Linked DNA regions of Coturnix japonica. The protein of the gene in region 4 binds, or shares a complex with, the protein of the main gene of each other region. Links are inferred from orthologs where the notes say so. Each region holds a gene or a part of one and is shown on either strand. Other genes may lie near its edges. The genes, in order: NME5, ROPN1L, DYDC1 and DNAJB13.

Region 1 (7,698 bases), on a different chromosome or scaffold from region 4:
CTGAAAATAGATTATCTAAATGAGCAACTATGGGCAAGCACCACAACCATCTTTTAATTGTAAAGTTTATGAATTTGAATGTTCCTTGAGGTCAAAGAACATCTAACTAGCAGGCCTGAAAATTGTGATAACATAGAACAGGTTGTGTATCCCTTTTCTAATATAGATACTTATCTTTACAAGGCTGTGGTTTTTAAAGTTTTCTCCAGTACTAAATCTTAAGTATAATTAGAAACAAAGATTTTTGTTGTTATTGTAAGATGTTGTTTCCCTAATCTGTACCATCTCAGGGAAACTTACCCCAAATCCAGCAAGAGATCTTCTGTTAGCTTCTTTTAGGCCAGCCTTGGCTTAGATTGTAATCAGATCTGAACCCAAAGCTGCCATCACCTGTATGTGTTAAGTTATACAGAGCCACCAGCTTGCTTCAATTAGAAATTATCCTGCATTTGCTTAAGTCACTCAGGCTGAACTGATATCTGCAGCTGGACTTAAATGGGGGGGGTGGGGGGGTTGGATGAAAAGTTAAGTAATGCCAAGCTTCATTAACTACTTTCTTTCTTGGATGGTTTTATATTTAAGGCAGATGGATGCAGAAGTGTATTCTGAAGTTACAAGTTTATAGACCGGCAGCAAGAGTAGATCAAAATGGGTGGCTGTTTATAGAAGTAAGTCTGTTGTCTAAGCTTAGGTTCAGATGATGGATATAATCTTTTGAGATCTGTTTTTTTCTGGTCAGGCCCATCTCCATCTCTCAGCTTGGCCATTCCAAGCAGCAGTTTCCAGCTATTATGTCTATTTGATGCTGCATAGAAACAAGGTAGAGATATATATCTAAGGAAGTAAAAGGTAAATGTCTAGTATCTGTATATGTGCTGTGCCCATGCACAGATGAGTAGAAGCTTTATAGGAAACAGTGAGTCTATGCCAGCCTCTAGAGGTATTCAACATGAATGCATCCTGAGCAGAACTGTGGAACTGAGCAGGAGAGGCTATTTTAAAATGGCTCAGTAGAATTCAATTGCTTCAGATGATTTACGTTGTAGGGGCTATTCTTTGTGGAACAAAAGGTAAATAGAACTTGATCAATATGTGTATGGGCTTACAACTGAAAGCCAGAAGTTGTGTGTGGAGTAGAAAATATTTGATGTGGAAAGACATGGAGAACTGACATCAAAAGATGGTCTACAAAATACAATACTTCTGCAGAAATTCTGAAAGGAAGGGAACGGTTTAAATATTGTGATCAGAGGAAAAGGTATCAGCAGTAACTGAGGTGAGGAGAAGCAGCTTGTGCAGGATCCCCAGCCATGGCAGTAACTCACAGAAGTCACAGCAGTTTGGACCAATCTGAATGTAAAACTCCCATTCCTGACTGTGAAGTTCCACCTACTCCTTTGTGCAGTTAAATGTAAAATAACTCAGCTGAAAAGTGGTTGGTTTTCAGCCAAATCATTTATCTAGCACACACTTATTACATGACAGTAAATTGCAATGGAAACACCTTAAGTTTGAAAGGAGGCAGTAATATGAGGCAATCGTATCTGTATTTGTCAATTAGGACAATGAGCTATGAGTTAGGAGGGAAGGGAGGAGAGAAATTATATCAGAGTTTACTGGTGCTCTTGCAGACATGGAAAGAAACACAAGGGAAGCTGTTGCTGTTGGGCTGTGGAAACAGCAGTAGGTGAAAATAATTGCAAAAGCCAAGGTAAGAGGAAAGCTAAACGTGCTAAAAATGACTGGAGACAGAAGAGTTTGGTTTAAGATTTGTTGAGAAGCTTTTAGATGAGTAGAGGAAGCAAAACTGTGATTGAAGTGACTTTAGGGTGCAGCCAGGCAGGAGATGTGGTTGGAAGACTTACAAACATGAGATGTGAGGAGGCACTTCTATGGAGGGGTTGTATTAAATTAACCGATTGATTACAAGAGACTGAAGTGCATCTGTGCAGGTGCTGGGGGGTCAGGGAGAGTGTGTGGCAAAAGCTGTGAACATATGAAAGAGTGGGCATGAGGATCAGGAAATAAAATAGAAGAAGGTCAGCAGAGCATGCTGTAGATAGGAAGTTTGTTATTACTTAGAGCCTTGTAGAAATAAGATCTTTAAAGAAAGTAGTGAGGTAGCAAATACATGAAAGCAGAAATGAAGGCTTGAATTGTGTTAGTCAGAAGCAATATAAAGTTAGCTCGGATTACAGGCGTGTAGGCAAGCTGCAGCAGAGTCGTTAGCTGTAAGAAATGGAGCAGGGAACGGGCTCACAGGAGCGGAAGTTTGCTTGGTCACAGGATTTCCGTCAAAGACACTTTGCACTGCAAAAGCAAGCACGGCTGCAGCACGTTCTGCGTGTGGGTATCCCAGCCTTCATCGTAGGAGACAGAAGCAAATAAAAATGATGTCAGTGGTGGACAGAAGTTGTTTGTGTGGCAAATGAATAGCCAGTCAATGATTACTACTATTTTTTTGGAGTTCAAAGTTTGAAAACAGTATCTTTTCCTTAAGAACATCATTTCTTTGCTACTAGAATGCATCTGCAGCCACAATCTTGTTATTATAGTGTTATTATATTCCATGCCAGCCCAAAATAAGACAACCAAGGCTTGTTAAACTGCTTAACAGGTCAGATACAGCAGCAGAGCTGTGCCCGGAGAAGTATTCGGGACTTAAAATGGTTTGTTGCATTGTAATTAAAATTTCAGGTTTTGTTTGTTTCTTTTCTTAGCTCTTAATAACATCCCTGGGCTACAGAAGTTAGAGAGGACGCTTCAAACCAGCCTTTTAGTCATTAAAGTAGCTTTAAAAGCGCTACAAAGATACCATGCGTACAATAACAGTATCAACACGGGGTTAAAAGGTCGGGTCTATGGAATTTAAGGATTTAGAAGAAACCTTTGAGATACTCTTAGCGTGTAAAGCTACTTCTTTGTTAGGGAACACACGATGTTATTTTCTCTTAATGCGCGGGGTCCCTTTAAATGTGCAACTCTGCATTATTAAACGGTCGTGGGAAGTGTAGCAGGAGGAAACCCCGGGTAATTGGCTGCAGCTTCAGATGCAGCAGCTCGCTCATTGGAGAGCAGAGGATTCTCTGAGTTGCTAAAATTAGATGATCTCCACCCTCCAGAAATGCTTCTGGAAACAGCAAGGAGGAGAAATTGTGACACAGAAGGATGGGGAGTGCACGGGACACTGCTCATGGGGAGGCTGCAGCAGACAAGGATGCACGGACAGATATTGATGCATTTTTTTTTTCCTATCTTTTTTAACTGAGAGCAAAATGCACCCAGCTAAAGGAACTGCGAGAGATTAAAGTCAGCAGTATTCTGTGAGGATATTAAATTCAACGTTTTTTAAGTAATAATCGGAAATATTCACTGGGGCTGAGGGAGGCTTTTGAGCTGCTAAGCCTGGGGTCAGCCTGTCAGCCTTGTAGGCGTTTGGTTTGCAAAGAGAATTAACCCTGAACTAAAAGGAAAAATAGATGAACTCCCAGATCTTTCTAGGAATTTATTTCTCACAAAACACGTCTTTCCCTTATCTGTGAGCAGTTGCTGCATTTACAGTATCTCCGACTGCTGGTTGAGCTCTCTCTGTTTAAGAAGCCGACATGAGTGCTTGTCTCTTGGTCCATCTCACCCCAAGGGCTCAAATGGAACATTAATTCCAGCTGGATGTGACAAACAGATGTCACCCGGGATCCCATCACTGCTGGCAAACACACAGCAGTGGAAGAGGCCTGAATGTGAGGAGTCCATGGGCTGGTGCTGGCGTTATCGCAGCCACCGGGCTGTGCTGAGCCGATAGCAGCTGGCAGGCCTCAGCGGGGCGGCGGGCTGCTTGTTTCTGTGTTAAAACCGGGTAACACCGGGGACAAAATGCCTTTCAATCCAAAGTGCTGAGAAACTGTGTTCTAGAGTTGGGAATTGAGGTCAGCGCCCGCTCTGTTGTGAGCTGCGGGTCCGACGGGAAATAAACAGGAGGTGCCGTGCGTGCTGCCGCCACACGGCGAGATTTAAAGAACCTGCAGGGGGCTTTGGCAATGAAAAGTTTGTTTCTGTTCCAAAACACCGGTTCTACAGCGTAACCTCTGTTCATGAGCGTCAGCTGTGAGATATTGCTTTCAGCGTGGAGTAAAACCGACAGAAAGCTGTGTCACAGGATTAACAACGCATCAGATCCCCAAAACAAGCTATTTTACTCCTTTCCTTACGCTCTTATCACACCTAGAGCTCAGGAAAGAGGCAAATGAGATCCGGAAAGCGCGGTTGCCGAGGGTGCGGCCTCCCCCCGCTCAGGCAGCGCCGCTCCCGGCCGCCATTTCTGCTCCACCCCCGCACACGCACGCAGCCGCCCGCTGCCAGGGCACGGCCGCCATCTTGTGGCCAATGGCAGCTGCCCGCATTGCCCTGCCGGCACCTGGCAACGGGGCGGGCACGGAGGAGCCGTTGGTGACCGGGAGCTTTCCGTGTGTGTTTGCGTGTCTTCAGAGACTCACGGGCACGGAGGCCAAAACCCAGGGAGAACCGTGTCTCAGGAAACCATCCCACGTTACTTACACTATTCGGAGATAAACGTTGTCATCAACTGCTGTCGTTGTAGGGCTAAGAAGTTCTAATGCAGAAAGATGGAGAGGCTCATGCCAGAACCTCAGATTTTTGTGGAAAAAACACTGGCTCTCATCAAACCTGATGTTGTAGATAAGGAGGAAGAGATAGAGGATCTCATCCTCAGATCCGGATTCCTGATTGTTCAGGTAAAAAGCTGCGTTCCTGAGATAACAGCTGCAGTTGGTGGGTCACGTCAATGGTCTTCTTAACTTTCAGCAGTCAGTTCAATAATTAAAAGCTTCTGTTGCCCAAAAATCGGTTTATATTTTTCACGTCATCAACCACAACTCCCAGATTCCTCGAGGATACATTTCGTTGGTGTGTGACATGGAAGAGAACCCACCAGACTTCGCTGACAGAAGAAACCCCATACTTCCTTCATGAACTGGGTTCATTAACAAATGAACTCAAAAACAAAAAGCCTTCTTCCATGTCCCCCCGTGGGGTTGGGTTGGTCGCTGGGTGCCGCTGTCGTCCTCATCGTGTTTGCTTTCTTCTCTTCCTCCTCCTCCCCCTCCTAGTAGTGTGGAGGCAGCACCTTCGGCACCGAACTTTGAGGGCACTGGCTGAGCAGCAACCAGGCTTCTAGATACAAGTATTACATGTATATGCTTCCCTAAAACTGTCATCTTTCGTAAATGCCTTGAAAAGTTTGAAAAGAGTTTGAAAAGAACTTGTTCTTTTTTAATTTCTTCCTCTACATTTCTGTTTGTTTTAAGTATAGGAAATTCATCAGAAGATTAGAGTTGTGTGTGTGCGTGTGTGTGTTTTGTTTTCTTTCTTAATGAGAAGAGCTTTACAGTCATTAACTTTTGACATTGAGGCTGATAGGAATCTGAATGCTCAGCACTCTGTATCACATTAGAGCAGGCTCAAAGAAAGGAGTTTTTAATAAGTTAATTTCTCTCCAGGCTGCCCTGTGCCCTCTGCTGGATAACCTGTTACACCTGGCCTAATTCTGGCTACCTGCAGGCAGGATAGCTATAGTGAAAATCCTAAAGCACCGAATGAAAGAAAGAACAATTGTATAATTAATGCTGCGGGTATTAATTATAACACAGAAACCTCTTGGTTGGTTGCTTCTTTGTTTTGTTTTCTTTTCATTGTTTGTTGTTTCTGTTGTTGTTGTTGCTTTGTATCTCAAGGGGGACCAAATCTGAGAGAATCAGACTAAGCTGGGAAGTTACCCTGTACCTCTTCAGCTTGCACTTGAAAATGTGACTGCCTCCAAAGAACAGTGTGGTACCTGAGGTAGCAAACCAGCTCTATTTAGTAAACTTTTTTCTTTCTCTTCTCTTTTACGCTTTTCTTAGAAACGGAAGCTCCAGCTGAGCCCAGAGCAATGTAGCATCTTTTATGCAGACCAGTATGGAAAAATGTTTTTTCCTAATTTAGCAGCCTATATGAGCTCTGGACCTTCACTTGCTATGGTTCTTGCCAGACATCGGGCAGTCTCATATTGGAAGGAATTGCTTGGACCATCAAACAGCATAAAAGCCAGGCTGACTCACCCTCACAGGTAAGCCTGGTTTTGGTGAAGTCAGAAGGATTCTGTTGTTCTCTTAAATAAAAGGGAGATCAGGATTTCTCCCGCCTTCTTCTGCTCTCTCTCTTTCAGACGAGATAAGGATTTTTAATATTATCTCTAGATTATGCATAGCATAAGTTTTCACCTTTGCATATGTAAAGTTCACTCATTTTACTGAGAACACTGAATGAATATGTAAATGCAAATTTTCATCTCCTACTTAATTTGTTTAAAAACAAATTATTTAGGCTATGTGTATTGCTTTCATACTGTAGACACTTCAGAGGTATTTGCAGTTGCCCATTGAGCAGGTCTTTCTCTTGCTTTTAGTTTAAGAGCAATCTATGGGACTGATGATCTGAGGAATGGACTTCATGGCAGTTTCAGCATTCCCTTGGCAGAAAGAGAAATTCGATTCATGTTTCCAGAAGGTAAAATGATGCTAAAAATTTACTGCCAGCCTTTAGGAGGATAGAATCCCTCTCTCTTATTAATTGTCTCTGTTCAGATTCTAGATATAAGTTAATTCAGAAGGGCTTGGGCTTGTTTGCTTTGTGCAAATGTGTATTTATTTATGTTGATATTTTTTCCTGCAAAAAGCATACCAGTTTCTATTGGAAGAGTTGTTATAGTTACAGTGACTGCTTCTACTTTTCAAACTCCGTAGTTTGGGAATTGGAGCAGATAAAACTGCAAATAAATCTGGAAGCTATTGTAACCTAGCACATTCTTCAGGCAGTGATCAGACCAGGGACTCCTATTGGCTTGAGAAGATTGTCCCTCTTGGGCTTGGAATGAGCAATGTCTGTTCAACAGCAATGTCTGTTCAACAGCAACTGTTCACTCACATGATAGTGCTATTCCTAAGGTAAATGCTAGAGAAATGGATCGTAGTACCTGGAAAACTGGGAGATGGTCTCTTGTTTATAAGGTAACATTGGAATTATGATTTTAGTCTTTGACAGAAAGAGGGGAAATTAGTAGAAAAGCTTGTTGTGTTTCCAATAGGCCTTACCTCATGTAAGCCATCACATTTGCTAGCAAAGCTGGATTTAACATGAGATATTTAAGGCTTCCAGAAACCAGAGCCAAGCTGCAGGAAGGAAATAATAAACATAAGGTATTTTCTTTCTCTCCTACCTCCTAATGAATCTTCAAAGATATAGATGTTTCTCCAAATGGTCTGAGTTTCTATCCTTTCAAAATTGGCTACAATTAGAAAGATTACCTCAGTGGCATTGTAAAGGAATTTAAATGGTGTCTTTGCAGTTTGTTGTGTGAAAATCTTAATAAATTATTACTATATTATTAACTTACATGATACACCGTTTACCTTAATATTATTATAAACAACCTATGAAAGACGGCCTTCCTTGATCACTCAAGTTGCTTTCCAACCCCTGTGTTTACTCTTTACAGCGATCTCAGAGCCAATTCCAGCTGGACAAAGAGTTAGAGATTACTTGAATCTTCATGTATATCCTACATTACTAGCTGGACTCACTGCACTTTGTAAAGAGAAGCCAGCAGATCCAATGGTATGGTATATCAGCACTGTGTTGTAT
Region 2 (7,734 bases), on a different chromosome or scaffold from region 4:
TCAAGTGTGTTCTTTCAGAATGGGTCAGTGTGAATTTTTCATGGCAGTAATCCTGAGGAAAGCATTCATCAGATAGCATGAATTGCCTGCAGAGAAGGGAAATCTATATGCTACTATATCTGCCATTAAACAGGCAAGGAAAAGTTAACAGGTTTCTTTGCAGGGGCAGTCCAGCAAGAGGCACTAAATCAAGTTTGTGTCGTTTCTGTATGAAGATAAGAGTTTTTTTGCAGTCATTTTTTTAATATATATCTTTTAAAGAGAATTCACAGAGCTTTAAGTACCATCGAATCAGTGCTTAAACTGCAGTGTTTTTCCTAAACCAGATGAGAGAATACAAGTATCCACTGCAGTAATCAGAAAATTGATGAAACAATTAAGTTTGGGACTTAGTACCTTGTCCTTCAGTATTCTGCACTTAACTATATATGTATCTAATTAATACTTGAGCATTTGGCAGGTTTTTAGAGCATGTCATCTCCTTTTATTGATGCTGCATCTCTGATCTATGTGTTTTGAACTGGTTTGGTCCAGAATATGATGGTGGTAGCGCGTATCTTGGTGTCTGGACTCATGTTCTGAGCACAAATGAAATGTATCAGAACGCATTGAACCTCACTGTTGGGAGGTCGGAAACTACTTCTTACAGAGTTACTGTTTTCCTGATAGCTTTTGGAGTGATTAATTAGGATGTTTCCAGTTGAATGAAGTTATGGAGAAGATAGCCAAGATGTTTGTATTTCATTCTCGCTGACTAGAGGCTAATTTGAGTATTCACCCCCAGATATTTTTGATCCGCGTAAGTGTTGCATTTGAATATTTCCAGTGGTGTAAATCCTCGTGGGACAAGGATGTTTTTTCCACAAGATTGAATTCATTGCTAACTTACATTCTTATTTTTTGCCAAAAATTCTGGCCTTGGCAAATCTTTCATAAAGAGTTCCCCAAATCTCCAACACTGGCAGCACTGCTGTGCATCGTGCAGAATTTGCAGTAGTGCAATTTGTGTAACTTTGGTGGGTTTTTTATCAAAACTGGTCTTAACATTAAAATTTATTAAGAAAAAGCCATTGTGCTGTTTCTTATTAGTGTTAATTTTGTTAAGTCATGATGTTAACCAAAAAACAAGAAGTCGATCCAGTCATGTAATGTGAACTGTAGCTATTTTAATGTAGCTTACATTATCTGTATTTGCTCTTTGTTAATGAGAACAGGTTTCAAATGAAACTCGAGCTTGCTTTTGCACTACTCTACAGATCACGGATGGGGTGAAGTTTCTGAAACTGTATTGTAAGAGTCCAAAATATCTCATCTCTTTATTTTAAGCATGTTCTAGGAAAGAAGGTTGTGTGTATATATATACATATATATATATAAAATTAAATGATTTCTTTTAATTATTGTTTAAAATTGTTATAGTTTGCCTTGCTGTGCTGTGTGTACTCTCCTGCGATGGAAACTTGATAGTAGGCTTGTCAGTGAGCTGTCTGTTGCTAGGACAGATGACAAGCTGTGTTCGAGTGACTTCCAGAGTCATGATATAGCGTGCAGTGGTTTTGCATTACTCTTTGAGTGGGAGAAGCTGTGTGTGACTTCATTACAGTCTCTGTTGATCTTAAGTAGTGAAGGGGGAGGGATTGGAGTTGTCTACCAGCTTAGCTGCACTGGCTCTGTGGGTACTGAGCGTCTGCTGGTGTTAGTTCTACAGGCCTTTATCCACGAGCTGTCAGATGGCTTTGTAGCTATCTTTTGCCTACTTAACTGCAGCATGGCTTTGACTGTTTTTACACAGAATATTTTTATATTGATTAAAAATAGTTAAAACTTCACATGTTTTCTCTGACTACCCCTTCTCCACTGGGTAAAGCCTAAGTAATTTGTTTATGTTCTGAGGGCCCTCTGGTGCCTGTAACTATTTTGCCAGCTGCTTTCTCAGTAGGATGCAAACTCCAGCCCCGATTGCAGCACTTTGCATCATTTCTCAGTAGGGCGCATTCCTCCCTTGCTCTCCCTTCCCTATGCTTGAGCAAAGGTCCTCATAAAAGTGTTCACAGCAGCCCTGTTATTCTTCAGAGAATTCAGTGAAAAGCCCTTTCCTGCACAACACAGATGGCAGTGGTTTGTTGATCTTGCTGCCTAGCAGGCTGATCAACACGGCTTTTTCTTCTACTTCACTGTCTGTCCATTTGTTTGTACCTCTACTGTAAGTTTCCTGTGACCAAGCCCGTGTTCTTGTTAGGTTTGCCTTATGTTGGGGGTTGGACTCGATGATCTCTAAGGTCCCTTCCAACCCGCACGAGACTGTGAGACTGTGATACTGTGATGTATAGGTGCTGTATGGTCTGAGCAATGGCTGGGATTCCCAGAAGAAATGATGAAATAATAAAGACATAAAACAGCGAACTGAATTCTTATAGTAAAGTTTAAATAAAGAACAGAAACTGTCTTCAAAAACAGACAAGGAGATGAGCTTTTACAAGGTAAGTGAGAGCTCTTTTCCTCTGATACCTCATGCCTGACTGGTGGCCAGTGCCAAAGGGGCATGGTTTAGGTTAGATTTTAGAAGGGAGTTTTTCACACAGAGGATGGTGACGCACTGGAACAGGATGCCCAAGGGGGCTGTGGGTGCCCCATCCCTGCAGGCATTCAAGGCCAGGCTGGATGTGGCTTTCGGCCTCCTCACAAACGAGGCTAAACACGGGTTAAACACGGGCTCTGCACCCGCGGTTGAGCGAGGCGGGCCGCAAACCGCCGTCCCATCCGCCCGCCCCCTCAGCTGTCACGGTGCGCTCGTTGCCGGGGCAGCGGCGGCGCAAACAAAGGTGAGGCGGGGCTGAGCGGCTTCCTCGAGCTAGGGGTGGTGCGGCGGCTGCATTAATCTTGAGGAAGATCAAGACTTAGCAAAAGGCAGCTGCTGACAGCAGAAGTAGTCTGGGCTTAGAGCTGTGGTTGGGCTCCATCTGCAGGCTTTTGCTTGGTATCAAGATTAAGGTACTCTGGTAGGCTCAGTAAGAAAGGGGGCAGTTTGGGTGTAAACATTGTGCGGGCAGTTTTTTGTTGTCATCCTACATCTGTTTTATTGTTAATCCCTTCAGGTCCACGTAACTGAACTTGAGAAGACCATGCCTCTTCCAGACACCCTGTTCTGTGCTCAGCAGATCCAAATCCCCCCTGAGCTACCAGACATTATCAAACAGTTCACCAAAGCTGCTATTAGGACTCAGCCTCATGATGTTTTGCAGTGGTCAGCTGCGTAAGTATGGCATCCTCATAACCATGTAGCACTGTCAGCACAGAACCACAAAGACCCAATGCTTCTGTTGACTGTATAGAGCAGTGTTGCATTCTTCAGTGTATAACACAACCTGTTGGCCTTTTAATAGTAGTATAGTACTTGGTTTAGCCTTTTAGTTTAAAGATTTCATATCGAGTTTTTCAGTACAAAGAAGACAGGGATCTCTTGGAAGGAGTCCAGCGGAGGGCCGCTAAGATGGTGAAGGGCCTGGAGCATCTCCCCTATGAGGAGAGACTTAGGGAACTGGGTCTGTTTAGCCTTGAGAAAAGAAGGCTGAGAGGGGATTTGATCCAGGTTTATAAATACCTGAGGTGTGGGAGCCATAGTGGTGAGTCTGGTCTCTTTTCAGTAGTGCGTGGGGACAGGACTAGGGGTAATGGGATGAAACTACAGCATAGGAAGTTGCGCACAAATGTGCACAAGAACTTCTTTACGGTGAGGGTGATGGAGCACTGGAACAGGCTGCCCAGGGAGGTGGTGGAGTCTCCTTCTCTGGAGATATTCAAGACCCGCCTGGATGCCTACCTGTGTGACGTGGTGTAGGGAACCTGCTTTGGCAGGGGGGTTGGACTCAATGATCTCTGGAGGTCCCTTCCAACCCCTACAATGCTGTGATTCTGTGAATTCTCTTTCTACACTGTCCTTGAATTTTATTTTGGAGTGTGTAGACCTGTAGACAAAATGGTTATGTGAGCATTGCAGTATATTGCCAGTTGGGCTTCACAGGTAGCATGTGGGAGGAACGCTAAATAAATCAGCTAAATAAATTGGAAAGGTACTCATCAATCTAATGGGAAAAGACTGTGCTTCAGTTGTGCGAGCATACTCTTGGTGTTAATAAATTTATTTCTGCCTTAATCAAAATAAGTTAAACTACTCATAAATTATGACAGTATGATAAAAAGGAGTATGTGATGTCTAGAAACTGTCTTCCACTGAAAAGAAAGGCATAGTGTTTAATCATCCTAGGTACTGGAGTGCCTTGCTGTTCCCATTCACTCAGGTACTTTACAGCACTGTCCAAAGGCGAGCCCCTTCCAGTGAAGGAGAGACTTGAAACACCTTCAGCAAAACAGAAGATGGATGCTGGTTTGACCCCGGGACTCCTTAAAGTCTTGCACAAACAGGTACAACCAGACATTTATCAAATGTGTGTGTTTGTCTTAGACAGAAAACATGCCAGATGATTAGTAGATGACTGTCAAAAATTTGATGCGTTTTGGGAAGGGTTGTTTTTCTTAGTTTCATTCTTTTTCAGAGTTCTTATTGCGGCACTGTAATTGTATTTACAGCTTTCCGCTAAAGGCACTGTAAGTGTTGCAGAGCTGAAGGAAAAATGGAAAGACTTGTGCCTGCCAGAGGAGCAGCTGGAAGCTATCCTGGAGTTGGACACCTTTGATGAAGAGGTGGAGTGGATGAAGATTCTGGCACTCGGGTGCAGCGTGCTTGGTGAGGTATGTCCACAGAATCATAGAACTGTTGTGAGTTGGAAGGAACCTTTGAAGTTCATTTACTCCAACTTCCTTGTAATGAACAGGAGCACCTACAGCTAGATTAGGTGCTCCTAGCCTCCTCCGGCCTAACATTCACAGCAGGAACCTTCCTGGCTGGCCACTAATGATAATGTATGATGATTACAGGTTGTTTTGGAAGGAGAGCTTAAGCAGTAAGGGCTTATCCTCATGCTTACTGGGATGTGGCAGTAGGACAGTAGGCATGTCCACTGGCAGCTCAACCAAGGCAATAGAGGAACAATGCTTATGGCATCAGTGTAATAGACAAAAGAGAAGAGCTGGAGGGAGAAATTAAAACATCAGTTTCTAATTGTGCAGCCAATTACATTTTCACAGAAGCAGTTAATGTTACTAAATCTACATTTAATTCTTCTAATGTCAGTAATAAAGTCTCAGCAGAGCGCTGCAAATGAATTGTTATGAAATGCTCGCACTAAGCTGATGTTCTTGTGAAGTATGAAATTAGAAGACTGCAGAAGGGGTACTAAGAAGAAAACAAATGCCCAGTAGTGTTTTGAGAATGTTGTGTTATTGAAAAGCAGTGGAGTCTCCTTCTCTGGAGATATTCAAGACCCAACTGGACACCTGCCTGTGCGATGTGGTGTAGGGAGCCTGCTTTGGCAGAGGGGTTGGACTCGATGGTCTCTAGAGGTCCCTTCCAACCCCTACAATTCTGTGATTCTGTGATGTTGGTTGACCCAGTCTGGCCATGCAGTTGTACTTGTCCACCTGAAGGGCATATTTCTTGATTCCAGCCCCGCCCAGAAATGGATTTGGTGATTTCTTTTACTTTCCTTCACTTAAAAAAAAAGTAGTAGTAGTAACAACAGCAATGTTACTTAAAAACAAAACAGAACAAAAACCACCAGATGACAAGAAAAGAAAACAACCGAAACAAAAAAGCAGTCCCAGGAGCCTTGTTCTGATGGAGCTGAACAACCTGAATTTACTTCCTTTATCCATCCTTTCAGATATTAAAATGATTTGATTTTATCTCTGCACGATGAAAACCTGAACTTCAGCTTAAACCAGAAAGGCTTACAAATTGTTACATTCTTTTCTTCCAATTTTAGTTTACATTCCTGAATATATATTTGTAAAGTCATTGCTTGCCTATTGATGAAGAAGTTAAGATAAATTTTGAAGAAATTCTAACAAAAATATGACTTCTTGGGTTAACAAAAGTCTTTTTCTTTGTGTGTTTTTGGGTTTTTTTTTGCTTTCTTCTTTGTGGGGCTTGAGGAAAGTAAGTTTTTAATAGTATCCAACCAGCCTTTGATTCAATCAAATTTCATGCCTGATTTTTCCACATGTCCCTTAATAGCCTGGGATGGATAGGGTACTGGATTACAGGCACCACGTGGAATAAAGCATTTTTTCAAAGCATGCTTTGAGCTAACACTTAGAGGCATGTTTTTGTTCAACAGAGAACTTGGACGCTTTTTGGATTCTTTTTGCTTCAGGGTTTTTTCCACTATTAAAGTGGAGCTTGCATACAAAGAGGGAAAATAGTAAATATTATAATTCCTAAGATTTAACATGGAACTGTTGCATTTTTTTGTTTGTTTGTTTTAGATTTGTCTATCAATCTTAACTGTCACTGCAAACCCATTTAGACCCATGAGCTCATATATACACGTAGACAGATAGCGAGGTTTGAGCTGTTGAGCGTTTTGGATACAGCTCAGACAACTTGGTGCAATCTTTCAACATTACAAAGTTGTGGTTTTTTTTTTTACTCCCGTTTATTACTTGAACTTTATTATTGTTTTGCTTTCACAACCTGCACTGTTTGATAAATCATAGAATCACCAAGACTGGAAAAGACCTCTAAGATCATCCAGTGCAACCGTGCACCTACCCACCTACCACCAGTATTTCCCGCTAAACCATGTCCCTCAGTACAACATCTAAGCATTCCTTGAACACCTCCAGGGATGGTGACTCCACCACCTTCCTGGGCAGCCCATTCCAGTGCCTGCCCACTCTCTGAGAAGAAAACTTTTCCTAATGTCCAACCTGTTATCTCCCCTTGTGCAACCTGAGGCCATTCCCTCTAGTCCTGTCACTAGTTATATGGGAGAAGAGGCTGATTTCCACCTCACCACAACCTCTTTTCAGGGATTTGTTGGGAGACATAAGGTCTCCCCTGAGCATCTTCTCCAGACTGAACAATCCCAGGTCTTTCAGGTAGTTATAGGTAGTTATATAGCATTAGGCTCACCGCTTGAGCTTCCTCTTCTCCAGAATGAACAATTCCAGCTTCCTCAGCCTCCTCATACAGCTAGAAATTTGATACTGAGAGCTAGGTAATAATGATAAAGCCTTCATTTCATTTTCACTCATTTTCTGTGGCTTGCAGTCTGCATTTTGTCATGATATACAAAAGATGTTAACGGCTCTGATACTGTTCTCATTCCTTCCTTGAACCCCTTCCAGTCCTTGCTGAGTTCAATGAAATATGCCTGCGAAATTTTAACAGAGGACCCAGAAGGTGGAGCAGCTCGTATTCCCTATGAAATGTTCTCATTCCTTTACTGCTATTTGGCTAGTATCGATGGAGACATACCATCTGAGGAAATCAAATCTTTCCTCCAAAAGATTAAAGAAGACGCGTAAGTAAAAGTTCAGGCATCAATTTTAAGTTACATGTTATCTCTGGATTCTCCACAGACCTCTAATTTTAGATGAGTCATCTGTCTTTGCTTGGGGTGCATCCATGATAGGAGTAAAGGTTGACTCAGGTTATATCAAAAGCGTACATAGTTATTTCCTGTAAGTGGAAAACCTTGGGGCTTTGAACTGTGAAATGATAAACTGTTATTTAGCCATCTCTGAAATGTTAAATTCACTATCTAGTGATGTAGCTTTCCCCTTAGGAAGCAATTATATACAGCTTTGTATCATCTGTGCACTACTGGTAGT
Region 3 (7,901 bases), on a different chromosome or scaffold from region 4:
ATATATCAATTGTTAGCATTTACATTGTACAAAGAAGGAAAAATCACGTATGGTAGATGAGTCTGTTCATAAATAGAAATATGTATCCTTCCATTCAGTTAAATATGACAAAGTTTTATCAGCAGACTTGATCTAAGATCCAGTAAGTTTGGATGATGTGATATGACTCCGAGAACAGAATAGTTTCAATGCTAAAGGTGATTATAGTTTCTTTTTATTGATCTTAATTTGTGATTTCATATGAAAATTGTAGCACTGCAAAACCTGCGATGACATCATGAAAGGGTTTATGTAATCCAACTTTAAACAACGTTAGGCATGAAATCTTTGTGGGTGATGTGGAAGACATACGTGAAGGTAATTTGAGACAGTCAGCGTGACTTCACCAGGGGCAGATTGTGCCTCACCCGTCTGGTGGCCTTCTATGACAAGCGGATAAAGGAAAGGTAATAGATACGTCATACACCTGGACTGCTGCAAGGCCTTTGATATGGTCCTACATCACATTCCTGTCTCTAAATGGGAAAGATATGAAATGGATCAGTGGACTGTTCAGTGGATAAGGATTTGGTCAGCTGGCCACCGGCAGAAGATTGTGGTTGACCGTTCTCTGTACAAGTGGAGGACCCCAGAGGTTCATCTTGGGACCAGTCTGTTTGCTGATCAGAAGGCCAAATGTGTCATGAGCTGCTTGAAAGAGGAATGAGGGTGGAGGAGATTACTGTCCCCCTCTACTCTGCCCTTGTAGGCGTAATCTGCAGTACTACACCTGTGGCAGGGTTGTTTAAACTAGTTTTAAGGTTCCTTCCAACTCAAGCCATTCTATGGTTCAATAGTAATAGTAATAGTCTCGTGTGGGTTGGAAGGGACCTTAGAGATCATCGAGTCCAACTCCCGGGATTCGAGCCTCTGTGCTGCAGAGCGGCACTTCTACCACTTGCGCCACAGGGGGGATTCGAACCCCGGGCCCTGATGTTGCAAGGCGGCATTCCTACCACTGCGCCACCGGGGCACACTTTGATTCATTTGCACTTCTGGTTTTGCAATTCATTTCATTAAGGATGTGTAAAATACACCCAGAGCCTCATATATGGCTTTTAATACTCGGTTGCCAGAAAATGATAATAAAAAACAGGACTAAGCAAGGCCTTGAGATCCTGTCACATTTACCACTTGGCAAAATCCAAATAATTGAGGAAACTTTGCCCTAGTCATAAATACATTCACAAATGTATTTGCAGGGCTTTTATAAAACAGGTTGTTACTAAAGCAAAAGTGTGCTAATACCACAAATTTCAGTTCTGAGCTGGGATTATACTACCAGTATCAGAAAACAAGTGAGCAAATGACTGAGGCTAACAAAGGAAAAAGGGCTCAGCTTCAGTACTAAAACCAGTCCAGCCAAATTCCAAGTCACACTACCTAGAATATCATAGCTGAAAAAAGCTAAACACACTGATATTTATCTCCAGTGATGTGCATAAAGCAGCATCATCTGTTTAATGTACTGCCATGCTTTACAGTCAATGACAGTTGATTTATACCCTCTCATGTACTAGGATTGTCAAGCACAAAGTGAATAAAAAAATAGGGGTGTAGAAGATGGCTGCATATCACAATTTAGATTGATAGTTGTAGTTTTGGAATAAGTACTGTCATGCTGGCACAGGGTTTGGATAACCTGATTCTTAGCAGGTCTTTGCTGCACTGAGCACTGTGCGCTTGGTACCTGGTCTTTTACATTAAATAATTGTTCAGATATCTCTGCGTTCTGCTGCATGAACAATGTACTTCAGACCAATCAGAATAATGTAAGTCATTTCATTCAGAAGCAAGACAGTGTTTGTGATTGAGTCTGTGTCCTGTTTGACACCTGCTCAAAAGGCGAAGGAAGGCTGCTTCTTGTCTGAGAATATTAATACATCCATTCATAACACACATGACTATAAAGGGGCATTTTAAATCTTTGGCACTTTATTCACTCAGCACCACATAAGCAGCCTTTCAGAATGTACAGCCTAAGGACAGCATGAAGACTGTGGCCCAAATAATATCCCTTCAGATTGTAGTAAAGAACCGGTATAGGGTTAACTAGAACAGTCTTAGTCTTCCATTTGTCAGCAAGAAAATGTTTGAGCATTAATTCCATGTAACCTTTTTCTTTCCAAACACTTACCTCAGACACTCCACTCTCATCTACTTCCTCAACTGTGGGCAAATTAGGTGCTCCTGCTCTATCTGTAAGTTCAGCTATTGTCTTCTCATCTTCCTGTAGTGGAAATTCATTTTCAATTAGAAGTATTCCGTGTCATGAGCAATCGTCTACAGTGGATACTTTGAACATGCTTTGAAAATGTAGTTTAAGTATGAATGTAAAGACAATACTTCAGATGCTTGCTACACAAATGTGTTAGTGTGCAAATGGGGTCTTTGTGCATGTAAAGACTGTTTTTACAAAGGTTTCAGGGTTCTTTTTTGCTTCAGTTTATAAACGTGCATACTTCTGTTACATTTACAGTCATTCTTCTAGCTATGTGCTATCAATATCTCAACACAGTGCTCTAAAAATATCTCTATTCTGCTCCAAGTAAAGTTAGGAAATGTTTCACGTCTAAGTGTCAATGATCAATCTGTTTTACCAAAACAGCATCATATGACTATGTATTTATATGGAAGACCAAAAAATCAAGAGGCATCCCACCTCCAAGTGTTGGTTCCTTTTCCAGGTGTGGCAAATGGGCTTCACGTTGCCAGGCAGTAAAATGTAACTATCTAAGCATTCATGTTAGACACGTTCAAGTTCTAGTATTTTATTAATTAAAAAAAAATCTGAACTTAAGCTACATTTTATAATAACTTTATGCTCTGTTCTGAATAAAAGCTAAAGAAACCCAATAGAACAGATGAGAATTCAAGTCTAAAACCTAAGCTGGAAAGAAGCATTAAACGTTCTTCCCTAATGTTAGCTTTCTGTTTTGTTGTGTTCAAGGCTTCTGCCTTGTGTTCTGTATTTAGGGACTGGATCTGAATAAGAGAGATGATTAACAATATTTCTTTATCTTGACTAAGCTTTGGCTTAAACCTCTGGATCTTTCTGCTGCTCCTGCATGTTCTCTTCTTTATTCTGCTGTTCCATCTTCTCACGTTCTTGTTCCTATTGTAAAGAGAAGACAGCTGAAGATAGCGTATATGCTTTTGATACTCAGTTCCTCGTGCTCTTTAGTAGTTAATATTTATATCTCCTATACTTTGGATTAGGCTCTTTGAAGCTTTGCACAGCATCTATTATAGACAGACTAATCCATATAGATTCTATGGGAGGAAAAAATAGCTAAGATAGTTAACTGCAGAAGACAGTCTACTTATCCTAATCTAATTTTCTAACATATCTTTAGTTAGTTTCTCTTTAGCTTAGTCTCTTCATTTTTGGTAACATCTTGTCATGTAGCAGGTAAGTTTTTCTCCCCAGCTGCTCAGCTGTCCTTTCTAATTCCTTTCGAAATAATGATATTTTCAAAACGCAATGTTTAAGCACTTTTTGTTATCTTTTCCCTTTCAAGATCAGAATACAATTGTAGGTACTTTCCAACATTCTGATTCTCTTATGATTCTATGTTGATAATGACTACTATTGTAGTGAGAGCTACAAGTTGACCCAGCATCACACGCTACTATAATTATGAACAACTATTAACCTGCCGTTGTTCTTCAAGTTTCTGTTGTATCAGTAGCTCTTCTTCCTTCATTTTTCTTAACATTTCAAGTTCTTCCAGGGCTGCCTGCCGTTCTTTTTCCAGTTTGGCCCTTTCCAACGTTCTCTATTTCAGAGGTAACAAGAAATCAATGAAAAAAAAAGGAAACAAAACACAAAGAGAGATTATACAGCATCAGTTAGATTGACATGAAATGCTTTGCCCGAGGTAGACCCACCTTCTTTTCTTCTTCTAGTGTTTTCTTGTAGTTGTAGATCCAGTGTGCCAGGTACTCTATTGGGTCAGCGGGCCGACGCTCCACAACCTCCGCCAGACCCTTTTTCAAGCAGCTTCCCAGACATCTCCTCAGGTATTGAGACTCCATTCTCACCTACTGACAAACCGACAGATATTAGTCACCGATATCGGAATTCAGACAGCAGTTAGAGGAAGTGTTGACTGCATCACATCCCCAGTGTGATGTTGGTGGTTTTATCAAAGCTCATTTCATCAGGCAATTAATATGAGAAGGTGGTAGCGGTGCTGTCCCCCGTTCCCTACCGCTTCGCTCCTACCGGCCCGATCGCACAGCGCGTCCAACCGCGTTACCGGGCAACCGCGCTCCCGGCTGGATCCTGCGTCAGGCGGCCGGGCGGTGTCGCTGTCGTTGCGCTCTCGGCCCTTCCATCGCCGCCGCCATTTTGCGTCTGCTTCCGCCGGAAGGGCCGCACGCGATGGCGGGTGGGGGCGGCGTGCCGGCGGAGACCCGTGTGGGACAAGTGGTGCTGCCCGGCGATGTGCTGCTGCTGCCCGAGCACGGAGAGCCCGACCTCGACAAGCTGCCGCTGGGCACCAGCGCGGCCCCGCGGGGGAGGCTGCTGTGCGGGCCGGGGCTGCGGCGCTGTGCGGGCGGGCTGCTGGTCACCAAGTGCGGGCTGCTGCGGCACCGGCAGGCGGGCGGCGGAGCGGCGGCGGGCGGCGCCTACTGGGTGGACTCGCAGCAGAAGCGGGTACGGCGGCAGCGGGCGGCGGGGGGCGGTGATGTGCGGGACGAGCCCGCTGATCGCTTGTACCCGCTTGTAGTACGTGCCGGTGAAGGGAGACCACGTTATCGGCATCGTGACGGGCAAGGTGGGGGACGTGTTCCGGCTGGACGTCGGTGGTAGCGAGCAGGCCTCGCTGTCATACCTGGCCTTCGAGGGCGCGACCAAGAGGAACAGGCCCAACGTGCAGGTAACGCTGCCCGCCGGGAGCTTGCCTTTGTAAACGGTGTTTTTACCACTCGGACCATATAAACGAGGAACGTGACTTTTTTCACAGAGCTTTTGTCATGGCCTGTACGGGGTGTCCCGATGAGGCCGTGAGTTTTTTCTGTTTTCTCCGGAGCTTTTTGTGCTTCTTCACTTCTGACCTTACACCTTTCCCATCGGTTAACAGTGGCAGGTGCTACTCGTGCAGTAACGTGGGTCCCAAGGGGCCACCCTGAGGCTTTAAAGCATCCTCTGAACGCTGGTGCTGGTAGAGGAGGGTTTGCTTTGTAGCATTTACAAGTTGTTTTGTGATATGTGCGTTCACCAGAAACACTGTCAGCATGGTGTAAAATGGGCTGTGATTTTAAATGGAATAGACTGGTATGGCTTCTGGTGCGCCTTCTGAGTAAAGAATTGTTTCCTAACATGTAACCTTTATCTCCCCTCTGTTAATTCAAAGCCATTCCCCCTTGTCCTGTCACTACTAGGCTATATAAAAAGTCACTCCCTATAAGCACTGGAAGGCTTCGATGGGGTCTATCCAGAGCCTTTTCCAGGCTCAACAAGCCTAACTCTCTCAACTTTTCTTCACACAAGAGGCGCTCCGGCCCTCTTCTGACCCATTCCAATGGTCTTGTGTCAGGGGCCACAGGCTTGGACAGAGTACCCCAGGTGGGGCCTCACAATGGCAGAATAAAGGGGTCAGTTACCTCATTCACCCTTCTAGCTATCTTTCTTTGGATCCAGCCTGGGATCCCATTGGCCTTCTGAGCTGCAAGTGTACGCTGCTGGTTCTTGTCCAAGTGTTCATCCAGTTTACAACTGTTTTGTTGTCTCTTTATGGACTGAATGTTTCTTACAAATGTGCATTGTTATCTTCTCTAATGATTCTTTTTTTTTGTTGTTTTCTGGCACTGCTTGCTTTAGGTGGGAGACCTTGTTTATGGTCAGTTCCTTGTAGCAAATAAAGACATGGAACCAGAGATGGTCTGTATAGACAGCAGTGGAAGAGCAAGTGGAATGGGAGTAATTGGACAAGACGGCTTCCTCTTTAAAGTTTCCTTAGGTCTGATAAGAAAGTAAGTACTAAGAAAACCAGTTGTACTAAAGTGTTGGGGTTGTTAAACTTAGCATGTGTCTAAACAACACACAGTCATTAGCTCCTCTCCCTCCAGACCCTGTCCTGCTTTTCCCTATAGGCTTGGGAATAGAATCGATTAAAAAACAGACACAAAGTAGAATTCATGGGTTGAGATAAAACTGTTTACAAAGAGAAAAGAAAACAAGATACTACTTAAGAGAAATACATATATGTGAATGTATATAGGAAGTTACCCACTGACTGATGCCCAGCTAGGCCCCAAGCAGCAGGAGAGAGAGAAAAAAGGACTCATGTCCCATTCAAAACTTTCCTTTTGCGTAATGTTATATGGTATGGAATATCCCTTTGGCCACTTAAAGTCAGCTGTCTTATTTCTATCCCTTCCCAGCTGCTTGGGTGCCCTGCCCTGTGCTTCCGAGATCCTTGTTAGTTCCCCATCCCCCAGTTGGTAGGATGGTAAGAGAGAGTGGGGAAAAATGAAGTATGCTTGGCTCTGTACAGCAGTGTTCAGCAACAGCTGGAAATACAGGTGTATTATCATTGTTTTTCTCCTAAAACCAGAACAGCATCTTAGCAGGCACTGAAGGAGAGACAATTGTGTGCAGCTGAAACTGGAAGAGTAACATTTTGTTTTTAGGTAGGATATGCACAGCTGTCTCCAATTCAAGTAGTGTGAACTAGCCAGTAACTGCTATGTGGCTGTTGTGCTGCATTTATGCCAGTTTTACTGGGGAAAGGATGCATGTACATTGAACTAGAAACAGTGTGTGACTATCATAAAATACCAGCTGATAGTGATAAGAGATGGTCAGACTAGTTGTTGCTTTGATGTTGAGGGAGGAGAGGTGAGCATCTGTTCTTGGAGATAACAAGTAGCTATGTCATACCTGGGTTTAGTAAGTAATTTGGTTTATGTGTCTTATCAGTGTGAACAGCTAAGTTGTTTTTCAGCCTTGTTCTTGGTAACTCTTCTGCCTAATTAGGAAAACAGCTACAGTGCACAGGTGCTCTCTTTAGGTGCATGTGTTTTGGGAGGAGAACTTCAATTCTGATATGGCTGGATATGCAATTTGAATCGTCTTAACTTTTGGAGTTGCTTTTGTAACTCCAGTGCTACTGTTTAGCTGCTGGCTGATAATGTTGTAATACTTAGCGAACGTGAGCATTCACTTTTTCCTCCAACCCTTTCTAATCTTATTTTACAGACTCTTGGCTCCCAAATGTGAAATAATTCAGGAGTTGTCCCAACTGTACCCAGTAGAGCTGGTGCTGGGAGTGAATGGAAGAATATGGGTAAAAGCAAAAACAGTTCAACAGACTTTAATTATAGTAAATATTTTAGAAGCTTGTGAGCATATGACTGCAGAGCAGAGGAAACAAGCACTCGCCAAACTGTCGGGGAATTGAGTAAAAGAAAGTCTGAAGGTTTGCGATTGCTGTAGGATGTTCTGCTTATTTTTGTATTCAGATTTATATTAAAAGTCACACTAAATGAAGTCCTAGATGTTTTTGGTGGTTCTTCTGTTCCCTTTATGCACTCAGCTGGTCCTACCGTATTTAGGATGCCTTGTGGTTATGAAATACTGTCCATCGTTGTGGATTTTGACTGGTGTGGAGATGGGCTTGAAAAGCTTCAATTAATGGTGAGTTTTGACATGAAGTTTTTCCAGAACAAAACCGGACAGTTTATCAGCTGGGTATATTTGTTTTTACTAGTTAATAGTAAAGCTTCCAATGGTACATGTTTACTTGGGGTAACTGTGAATCATCTATTTTGGTCAAGTAAGTAATTGCAGGGAAGTAATTGCAGGGTGTACCTGCAAGTAATTACAGTGTGCTTCAGGTAAGTCTGAACTC
Region 4 (7,702 bases):
CTTCTGTGCTGTCTCTGAACTCAGCCTTTGCTTTGATGCAGGTATTTTGGATACTGCCATTGTGGATCGGGGAAGAAACGTCCTTTCCTGCTCTAGGGATGGCACTGCACGCCTCTGGGACTGCGGCAAATCCTCGTGTCTGGGTGTCATTGCTGACTGTGGCTCTCCCATCAATGGCATCGCTGTGGGCACTGCTGACGACTCGGTGAACCTGGGCACACCTGAAAAAGCTCCCAGTAAGGAACATTCTTAAAGGACAGCCTTTATTTTCCCTTAGTTTTGTCAGCTGGTGCTGCAGGTGTCATTCAGAGAGCGTGGCATGCAGCTTTATGCCCTCGCTAGGTCACCAGCATATATCTCTATGGAGGAATTCAGCCTTATCTTCCAGTTTGGGTGATTAAGGCTGCAGTCTTGTTGGCTACTGGCCTGCTTTGCATAAGAAGGATATTGCTGTGGGTTCAGCAGTTGTGATCCCAGCCATCAGACTTGAGGACTGTCGTCTCCCTGTGCTGCTGGGGTTAAACTTTGTTTTCCTCTCAGGTGAACGTGAGATTGGGACGGAAGGGAAAATCCTGCTGCTGGCTCGAGAAGACAAGAAGCTGCAAGGAGTTGGGCTGCAGAGCAGGCAGCCGGTAAGGAGGCTGAGACTATCAGTAGTGCTTCAAAATAACCCTGTGCAGGAGGGGATGGGAACCAGCACTGAGCACACACTGGTTTTGTGCTCCAGGTCCTGTGGCACTCCCCTGAGTGTGCTCAGGTGCTGCTATCTATCCAGCTCTCTGGGGAGCATTGCCTTTGGCTGGGGTCCCAAGTTGCAGTATTCTCCCCTGTATTTATTCAGAGAAAGAGAGACTAAAGACCAGTATAAAGGGATCCTTTCTCTCCTTTTTTTTCTGGCTAGGTTTATACGTGGGGGGTTGAGGAGTAAGAATTGCTTGTGTGTTCCACGCAGGTATGTGGCAAGCTAAACAGCAGCCAGTAGATGTCATTGAGAATGCAGGAACAGAAGCTGAGTAAATTGCTGTCCTATTCCTGGCTGTCCTGTGGCTGCTTTGGCACATCTGTGAGATCTCACACTTTGCCGTTCTTTATATTCCCAGGTGTTCCTCTTTGATGGATCTGATGCCTTCAATTGCTGCACGTTCCTCTCAAGTACCTATTTCCTAGCAGGGACTCAGGATGGGAACATCTATCAGCTGGATGTGAGAAACACCAAGTGAGTACATACGTGGGGCTGCAAGTCTTGAACCACAATTGTGGTTAGTTGTTTTCCTCCCAGGAAGAGTCAGATCAAAGGTGCTGGCAGACAGTGGAGGTGGATACAGCCCAGACAGTGGCACTGTGAGCTTTGGAACCCCTTGCAGCCTTTTCCTTCTCTTGGGTAGCATTCAAGAGGATGCTTTGGCAGGAGCTGCTCTGAGGTGGCTTGTAGTTGTTGTAAAGGGCAGACTCTAAGCAAGGAGCATCCAGATGGATGGGTGAGGACAGAGGAGCCTGGCATGGAATAATCTGACAAGTCTTTCAATCATATAAGCTCCAAACTTGTGGCTGTTTTGGTAGGGATAATCCCCATGTTCTCCTTGTCTATCTTTTAATCACTACCTCACGTTCTGCTTTCAGCACTCAGACATTGGGATGATTTGTCCATAACGCTCTTCTTCCCATTCCTCTTTTTTCCAGTGCTCCAATCCAAATCATTCACAGATCAGGAGCACCAGTGCTTTCTCTGCTCCCATACAGAGATGGATTCATTGCCAGCCAAGGTAACTCAAGTGCTGTGTGCAGATCATAGACTTGAGCTGAGCAGTTCTTTGCTCCTTATGCCCTCTCTTACATACAAACACAGGATGTCCGAGCCACTAGGAGAGGGTTTCACAGAGTGTCCATTGCAAAAAGTTGATGTAGTGGAACATCCTATTACGTAGTTGCTTTTTGCCTTGTGATTTTTCTTGTGCTCCCCCATATCATGGCCTGCAAGGAGCTTCTCAGTCATTAGAGCCTTTTCTCATCACATGTCTCCCTTTTCTTGGGCATTTCTGCTGGGCTCATAGTGCTGTTTATAGAAAGAACGTGGCCTGTTTTTACTCATCACCCAATATTCTTTCCTTCCTTGGTGTTCCTTCTGCTTGCGTAGGTGATGGAACGTGCTTTATCATTCAGCAAGACCTCGATTATGTCATCGACCTCACAGAGGCAGATTGTGACCCTGTGTACAAGGTAAGGCCCACAGTGCTCATCCAGCTCCAACCCCCTGCTATGTGCAGGGTCACCAACCAGCAGCCCAGGCTGCCCAGAGCCACATCCAGCCTGGCCTTGAATGCCTGCAGGGATGGGGCATCCACAGCCTCCTTGGGCAACCTGTTCCAGTGCGTCACCACCCTCTGGGTGTAAAACCCTCCTAAGATCCAACCTAAACCTCCCGTCTCACTTTCAAACCATTCCCCCTTGTCCTATCACTGCCCACCCTCACAAACAGCTGTTCCCCCTCCTGTTTATTCGCTCCCTTCAAGTACTGGATGCCCACAATGAGGTCTCCCCGCAGCCTTATCCTCTCCAAGCTAAACCAGCCCAGTTCCCTCAACCTTTCCTCATAGCAGAGCTGCTCCAGCCCTCTGGCCATCTTAGTGGTCTCCTTTGGACCCACTCAAGAGCTCCACGTCCTTCCTGTGCTGGAGGCCCCAGGCCTGGATGCAGCACTGCAGATGGGGCCTCACAAGAGCCAAGTAGAGGGGGACAATCACCCCCCTGTCCCTGCTGGCCACCCCTTTAAATGCAGCCCAGCACACAGTTGCACTTGGCCTTATTGAACCTCATTGTGTTCTCCCACCCAGCTTTGTTGGCTTATTGCATTATTTCCCCCCCCCCTCCTTGTTTCAGGTCGCTCAGTGGGAGAAGCAGATCTACACGTGCTGCAGGGACGGCGTGGTGCGGCGGTACCAGCTGGGAGACCTGTAGGGGTTAATGGGGGGTCTATGATCAACATGGCTGTGTGTGTTATAGGGGATGTGAGCAACATGGCTGTGTGTGTTATGGGGTCTGTGAGCAACATGGCTGTGTGTGTTATGGGGTCTATGGGGTCTATGAGGGAGGGATGGGGCTGATGTTATGGCTGTTTCTGCTCATTTCTGCCCCTTCCAGCCCCTTTTTATCTGCTGTGAGGTGGATTTGGGTGTTAAATCGAGGCTGTGGGCTGAAATAAAGCCGCTTTCATAGAGTTTGTGTGGAGGAAAAGTCGGTGTTAATCTTAAAGCTCCGAGTGGGTTGTTTGGTACAAAATGGCGGTGGGTGGCGCTGAAAGAACTACAACTCCCATCGTGCTCCGCGCTAACGGAAACGGAAATATATCAGAGAGCCGGAAGTGCGGCCTACAGGCGTTGCCTTGGTAACCCATCCTCTGTTTGCGTAACCATAGCGAGGAGGCCGCCATGGGGCAGGATTACTACGCCGTGCTGGAGCTGGGCCGCCAGGCCACGGACGCCGACATTAAGAAGGCGTGAGGGGGGGTGGATAGACGTGGGTTGGGGGCGGGTTGGGGGCGAATGGCCGCTTCAATCCCAGCATGGGGCCTAGCGGGGGCTGTAGGCCTCGCTGTGCTCCTCATCCCGCAGGTACCGGCTGTTGGCCTTGGAGAACCACCCGCAGAAATGCAGGGAGCCGGAGGCGCAGGAGCGGTTCAGGCTGTTGGCGGAGGCCTACGATGTGCTGAGCGACCGTAAGCAGCGGGGATGAGTCCATAGGGTCACAGAATGGGGCTGGGTTACAAAGGCCCACAGTGCTCATCCAGCTCCAGCCCCCTGCTGTGTGTGGGGTCACCAACCAGCAGCCCAGGCTGCCCAGAGCCACATCCAGCCTGGCCTCATCCAGGCTGAACATCCCCCTCAGCCTGGCTCCGTCCTCTGAGCATTCCCATGTCCTCCTATAGACCCACAGCCCCACGTCCCTCCTGTGCTGGAGGCCCCAGGTCTAAATGCAGTGCTTCACATGAAGGGGACATTCCCTTCCTGCCTGTTTCCCTCTATTGGTGCAGCACTGCTGGCCCTATGTGCTGGGATTACTCATGTCCTGCTTTTCTCTACCACAACTCCCACCTCCTTCCCCTCAGGGCCGCTCTGAGCGCGTCCTTCTCAGTAAGATATCTGTTCCCCGTCTCTCCTTGCCCCATAGCTGTAAGGAGAGGCATCTACGATCGGTTCGGTGAAGAAGGTCTCAAAGGCGGCGTCCCTGTGGAGTCTGGCAGTGAGGATGCCTGGACTCCTGGTTATGTTTTCCACAACAACCCCGACAGAGTCTTCAAGGAGTTCTTTGGAGGACACAACCCCTTTGCAGGTGGGTGGCTGCTCTGCTGCCATCCATGGGGCAGCCTGTGCCCTTTTAGGGCTGTGCTCATCACCAGCCCCTGAACTTCTTCCTAACAGACCTCAAAGCCCCCTCAGCCCCATCCCTTGTTATGGGTGCCCCCAGCTCAGGCTGCCCAGGGCCCATCTGTGGCCTATGGCACCTCCAGGGATGGGGCACCCACAGCTCTGGGCAGTGCCGGGGTCTTACCACCCTCTGAGTGAAATATTACCATCATCTCATCTCCATCTCCTCTCTGCTACAAGTTTTGTTCTTTCATTCACACTGGGAATGTGGTTTGGAGCCCCGTATCCTCCATGCTGCCCCATGCAGAGTTCTTCACCAAGGATGGTGTGGAGGCGACGCTGCCCTTTGGAGGGCTGCGAGGAAGAGGTGTGATGAAGCAGGACCCCCCGATGGTGTGGGACCTCCATGTCTCCCTCGAAGACCTTTTCTTTGGCTGCACCAAGAAGATGAAGATCTCCCGCCGGGTAAGGACAGTGAGGGACCTTGTGCCAGGCAGGATGAGCTACACCTTCCCCCCAGCAGATTGCATTGCACCAGGGTGCATCCAGCCCGGCCTGGAGCTGTTCTGACAGCAGAGGTTTCCCTTTATCCCCCCAAACTCATCCACCCTGCAGGTGATGAACGAAGACGGCCAAACAAGCACCATCAGGGACAAGATCCTGATCATCGACGTGCAGCCGGGGTGGAAGCAAGGCACCAGGATCACATTTGAGAAGGAAGGAGACCAGGTAACCTCTGTGACCTGAAGTTGTGGGCTGGGCCCATAAAACCATTCCTAGAGCTCCTTTCCCACCCCCATCCCCCTTTTTAGGGCCCAAACATCATTCCAGCCGACATCATCTTCGTTATCCAAGAGAAACCTCACCCGAGGTTTAAAAGATCCAACGACGACCTCATTTACGTGGCCAACATCCCCCTGGGAAAGGTGAGGAGCAAAGGGAGGGGGCGTCCAGCTGCCTTTTGCCTTCAGCCAGCAACTGCAAAACATGCAGAAGGAGGATAGCGCCGGGTTCGGAGCCTCGGCCCCTTTGGTCCCTATGGGAGTTGTCCTTGGCACCATGGTTAATGATGGGGGGCTCTGTGTGGCCGCATCTGCAGCTCTTGGTCCTGCTCTGTGTCTTTAGGCACTGATTGGCTGCACAGTGGAAGTGAGGACGCTGGATGGGCGGCTGCTGAACATCCCCATCAATGACATCGTGCAGTGAGTGTGCAGATCTGCAGGCAGATGGGTGCTATGGGAGGAACCTCTGTGGGCTGCCAGCTGCTCCTCTTGGGTTTCTTGGGTGCTCCAAGAGCTTTGGGAGCAGGTTGGGGGCTCCCACCCTCAGCTCCCTCTCACTTTGCAGCCCCACCTACTGCAAAGTGGTGCCTGGGGAAGGGATGCCGCTGCTGAAGGACCCGCACCAAAAGGGCGACCTCCTCATCCAGTTCAACGTCTGCTTCCCCAAACGTCTCAGCCCCAACAAGAAGGTGCTCCTGAAGAGAGCGCTGCTGCCCTAAGAGCTGCTGCCACCCCCCGCTTTCCTCCCGCTGAGGCCGCCAGTGCTGAGAGTGAGGTACAAACGGGGCTCCCCGCAGCCCAACTCTGCTCCCCTTGTGTTCTGCTGCACCCATCACTGCTCTCCTCCCTTCCTTCTGCACTGCAGCTCTCCCCGCTGTTGGGCTGCTCCCCTTTGGCAAGAGCAGAATCATTGAGGAAGAGACCACGAGGGCTGGAACCCAACAGCAGCTCCGGACCGGGAGTAAAACCCCACCCTCCCCTCTAATAAAGAGAAGGTGACAGAACCCCAAGTACTACTGGGATAGACCCCATAGGGGTGATTTATTTGAAGCATCAGTGAGGAACACCTGGACTTACCGCATCCCCCATGCCATAATGCTCCTCCCCACCTGTCCATCCCACTGCTGCTGGGAAGCTCCTAACTGGAAAACCTCAAGGCCTTCTTCCTTCCTCTCCCTGCTCCGCTGCGCACACCTCCATCATCCAGACACCTCCATCCATCCATATACCTCCATCTGGTCACCTCCATCCTCCCTCTCTGTCTGTTCTCCTCCTGCTGGTCCCTCACGAGCCACCTTTGGTCCCTCTCATCCCATAGGCTCAGGGGGACCTTTGCTGTCTCCCTTCCCCGCCGCTCCAGCAATTAATATAATTGACTGCTGCAGCTCATCAGCGCTGACGATTTGGGGCTGGGGTCCATCAGGGCGGTGCAGACCGGGCCAGCATCACCAGGCGCTGCAGCTGCTCATAGGAGATGAACATCACCACGTTCCAGGAGCCGAGGCGCAGGAAGGAGGGGACGAACCTGCAGTGAGGACGGCGGCGTTGGAGGGGACGGCCGCGGTCAGCGCTGTGTGACATGGCGGTGATATGGGGCTGGTGTTGCTGCACTCACCCCTTGTAGAGACCAGCGACACCGTCCTGCAGCAGCAGGGCCAGCAGGCAGCTCGGCACATTGCGGTACTGCCCGGGGCCCGCGTTCATGTACCGCGTCTTCACCACGTCCACCGGTGACGCCACCACTGTGGCGCAGAATCCAGCCCCGAAAGCGGCCACGAAGTGACAGGGGATGTTGTCTGTGGGGCAGGATGGGGTGTGAGGGCTATGGGGATGGGGATGGCACACAGGGCTGTGCCTTCAGTCCCATCCTCACCCGTCATCAGCTGCGCCCGCAGCAGCGCGTCCTTGATGAGGTCGTAGGTGACGAGCTCGCCGCAGTTAATGATGGCGTTGCGGGCGATGTTGGGCATCGTCCCTGTGGGGAGTGTGGTGCTGTTGGGACTGCTGGGTGCCCCAGTGCCACCGTCCCTGTCCTCCCATCCCCATCCCTCGTCTCCATTCAGGGCTGAGAGATGGGGCTCATAGAATCATTAATGGTGGAAAAGCCCTCCAAGATCCCCAAGTCCAACCCCAACCCAACCCCACCAACCCAGCCCCACCACACCCACTGATTGTGTTGCTCAGTGCCACATCCCTACAGTTCTCCTAGAGATCTCACCTTTAAGGAGGGCCCTGGCACTGATGCCCAGAGCTGTGGGTGCCCCTCTCTGGCAGTGCCCGAAGCCACAGATGGAGCTACAGACACCAGGGCTGCAGGAGGTGTCCCTGCCCACGGAGGGGTTGTGGCTGGATGGGGGCTGAGTTCCCACCCTAACTCCTCTGATGCTACAAGTCCTGTTCCCATCCCATGCCATTCCCATCCTCTTTTCTATTCTATCCCTATCCTCACGTCATGCCATCCCATCCCATCTACCTTCCTCACCACTACCTCCTCTTCCATCCCACCCCATCCCATCCCATCCCACCCCACCCCATCCCACCCCATCCCATCCCCTACCT

What was found.
Region 1: the proteins of DNAJB13 (region 4) and NME5 are in contact, whole or in part, in a cryo-EM structure (PDB 8WZB), measured with the Mus musculus proteins. The link is inferred for Coturnix japonica from reciprocal best matches to the Homo sapiens genes DNAJB13 and NME5. Residues at the interface, in NP_705755.2 of Mus musculus: Thr156, Lys157, Lys158, Thr181, Ile182, Asp183, Arg185, Trp188, Arg189, Gly191, Thr192, Arg193, Ile194, Thr195, Phe196, Glu197, Pro281; in NP_542368.2 of Mus musculus: Glu52, His53, Asn56, Met193, Lys199, Pro200, Lys201, Leu202, Cys203, His204, Phe205.
Region 2: DNAJB13 (region 4) and ROPN1L share a complex: the UniProt entries of both Homo sapiens proteins name them as parts of the axonemal radial spoke complex. The link is inferred for Coturnix japonica from reciprocal best matches to the Homo sapiens genes DNAJB13 and ROPN1L.
Region 3: DNAJB13 (region 4) and DYDC1 share a complex: the UniProt entries of both Homo sapiens proteins name them as parts of the axonemal radial spoke complex. The link is inferred for Coturnix japonica from reciprocal best matches to the Homo sapiens genes DNAJB13 and DYDC1.

Annotation. Positions count from the first base shown.
Region 1 is NC_029528.1:3,793,777-3,801,474, reverse strand, and holds the start of NME5 (nucleoside diphosphate kinase homolog 5), read left to right. Parts: upstream 1-3,147; 5' UTR 3,148-4,622; coding exon 4,623-4,751; intron 4,752-5,918; coding exon 5,919-6,124; intron 6,125-6,463; coding exon 6,464-6,564; intron 6,565-7,552; coding exon 7,553-7,671; intron 7,672-7,698. UniProt on the Homo sapiens protein: Functions as part of axonemal radial spoke complexes that play an important part in the motility of sperm and cilia. Does not seem to have nucleoside diphosphate kinase (NDPK) activity.
Region 2 is NC_029517.1:52,306,803-52,314,536, forward strand, and holds the start of ROPN1L (ropporin-1-like protein), read left to right. Parts: upstream 1-2,691; 5' UTR 2,692-2,822; intron 2,823-2,828; exon of another isoform or gene 2,829-3,008; intron 3,009-3,095; 5' UTR 3,096-3,122; coding exon 3,123-3,253; intron 3,254-4,298; coding exon 4,299-4,422; intron 4,423-4,587; coding exon 4,588-4,749; intron 4,750-7,248; coding exon 7,249-7,424; intron 7,425-7,734. UniProt on the Homo sapiens protein: Functions as part of axonemal radial spoke complexes that play an important part in the motility of sperm and cilia. Important for male fertility.
Region 3 is NC_029521.1:3,508,984-3,516,884, reverse strand, and holds DYDC1 (DPY30 domain-containing protein 1), read right to left. Parts: upstream 4,384-7,901; 5' UTR 4,302-4,383; exon of another isoform or gene 4,254-4,301; intron 4,087-4,253; exon of another isoform or gene 4,084-4,086; 5' UTR 4,078-4,083; coding exon 3,931-4,077; intron 3,819-3,930; coding exon 3,696-3,818; intron 3,155-3,695; coding exon 3,083-3,154; intron 2,270-3,082; coding exon 1,979-2,269; 3' UTR 1,036-1,978; downstream 1-1,035. Other genes in the region: EXOSC3 (exosome complex component RRP40), read left to right, coding at 4,427-4,702, 4,776-4,925, 5,870-6,021, 7,250-7,451. UniProt on the Homo sapiens protein: Functions as part of axonemal radial spoke complexes that play an important part in the motility of sperm and cilia. Plays a crucial role during acrosome biogenesis.
Region 4 is NC_029516.1:175,175,814-175,183,515, forward strand, and holds DNAJB13 (dnaJ homolog subfamily B member 13), read left to right. Parts: upstream 1-3,316; 5' UTR 3,317-3,425; coding exon 3,426-3,493; intron 3,494-3,608; coding exon 3,609-3,712; intron 3,713-4,164; coding exon 4,165-4,326; intron 4,327-4,668; coding exon 4,669-4,826; intron 4,827-4,976; coding exon 4,977-5,090; intron 5,091-5,173; coding exon 5,174-5,287; intron 5,288-5,486; coding exon 5,487-5,563; intron 5,564-5,708; coding exon 5,709-5,862; 3' UTR 5,863-5,918; intron 5,919-6,003; exon of another isoform or gene 6,004-6,008; 3' UTR 6,009-6,162; downstream 6,163-7,702. Other genes in the region: PAAF1 (proteasomal ATPase-associated factor 1), read left to right, coding at 42-236, 541-632, 1,101-1,216, 1,681-1,763, 2,135-2,217, 2,878-2,955; mitochondrial uncoupling protein 3, read right to left, coding at 6,563-6,668, 6,759-6,939, 7,017-7,118, 7,701-7,702. UniProt on the Homo sapiens protein: Functions as part of axonemal radial spoke complexes that play an important part in the motility of sperm and cilia.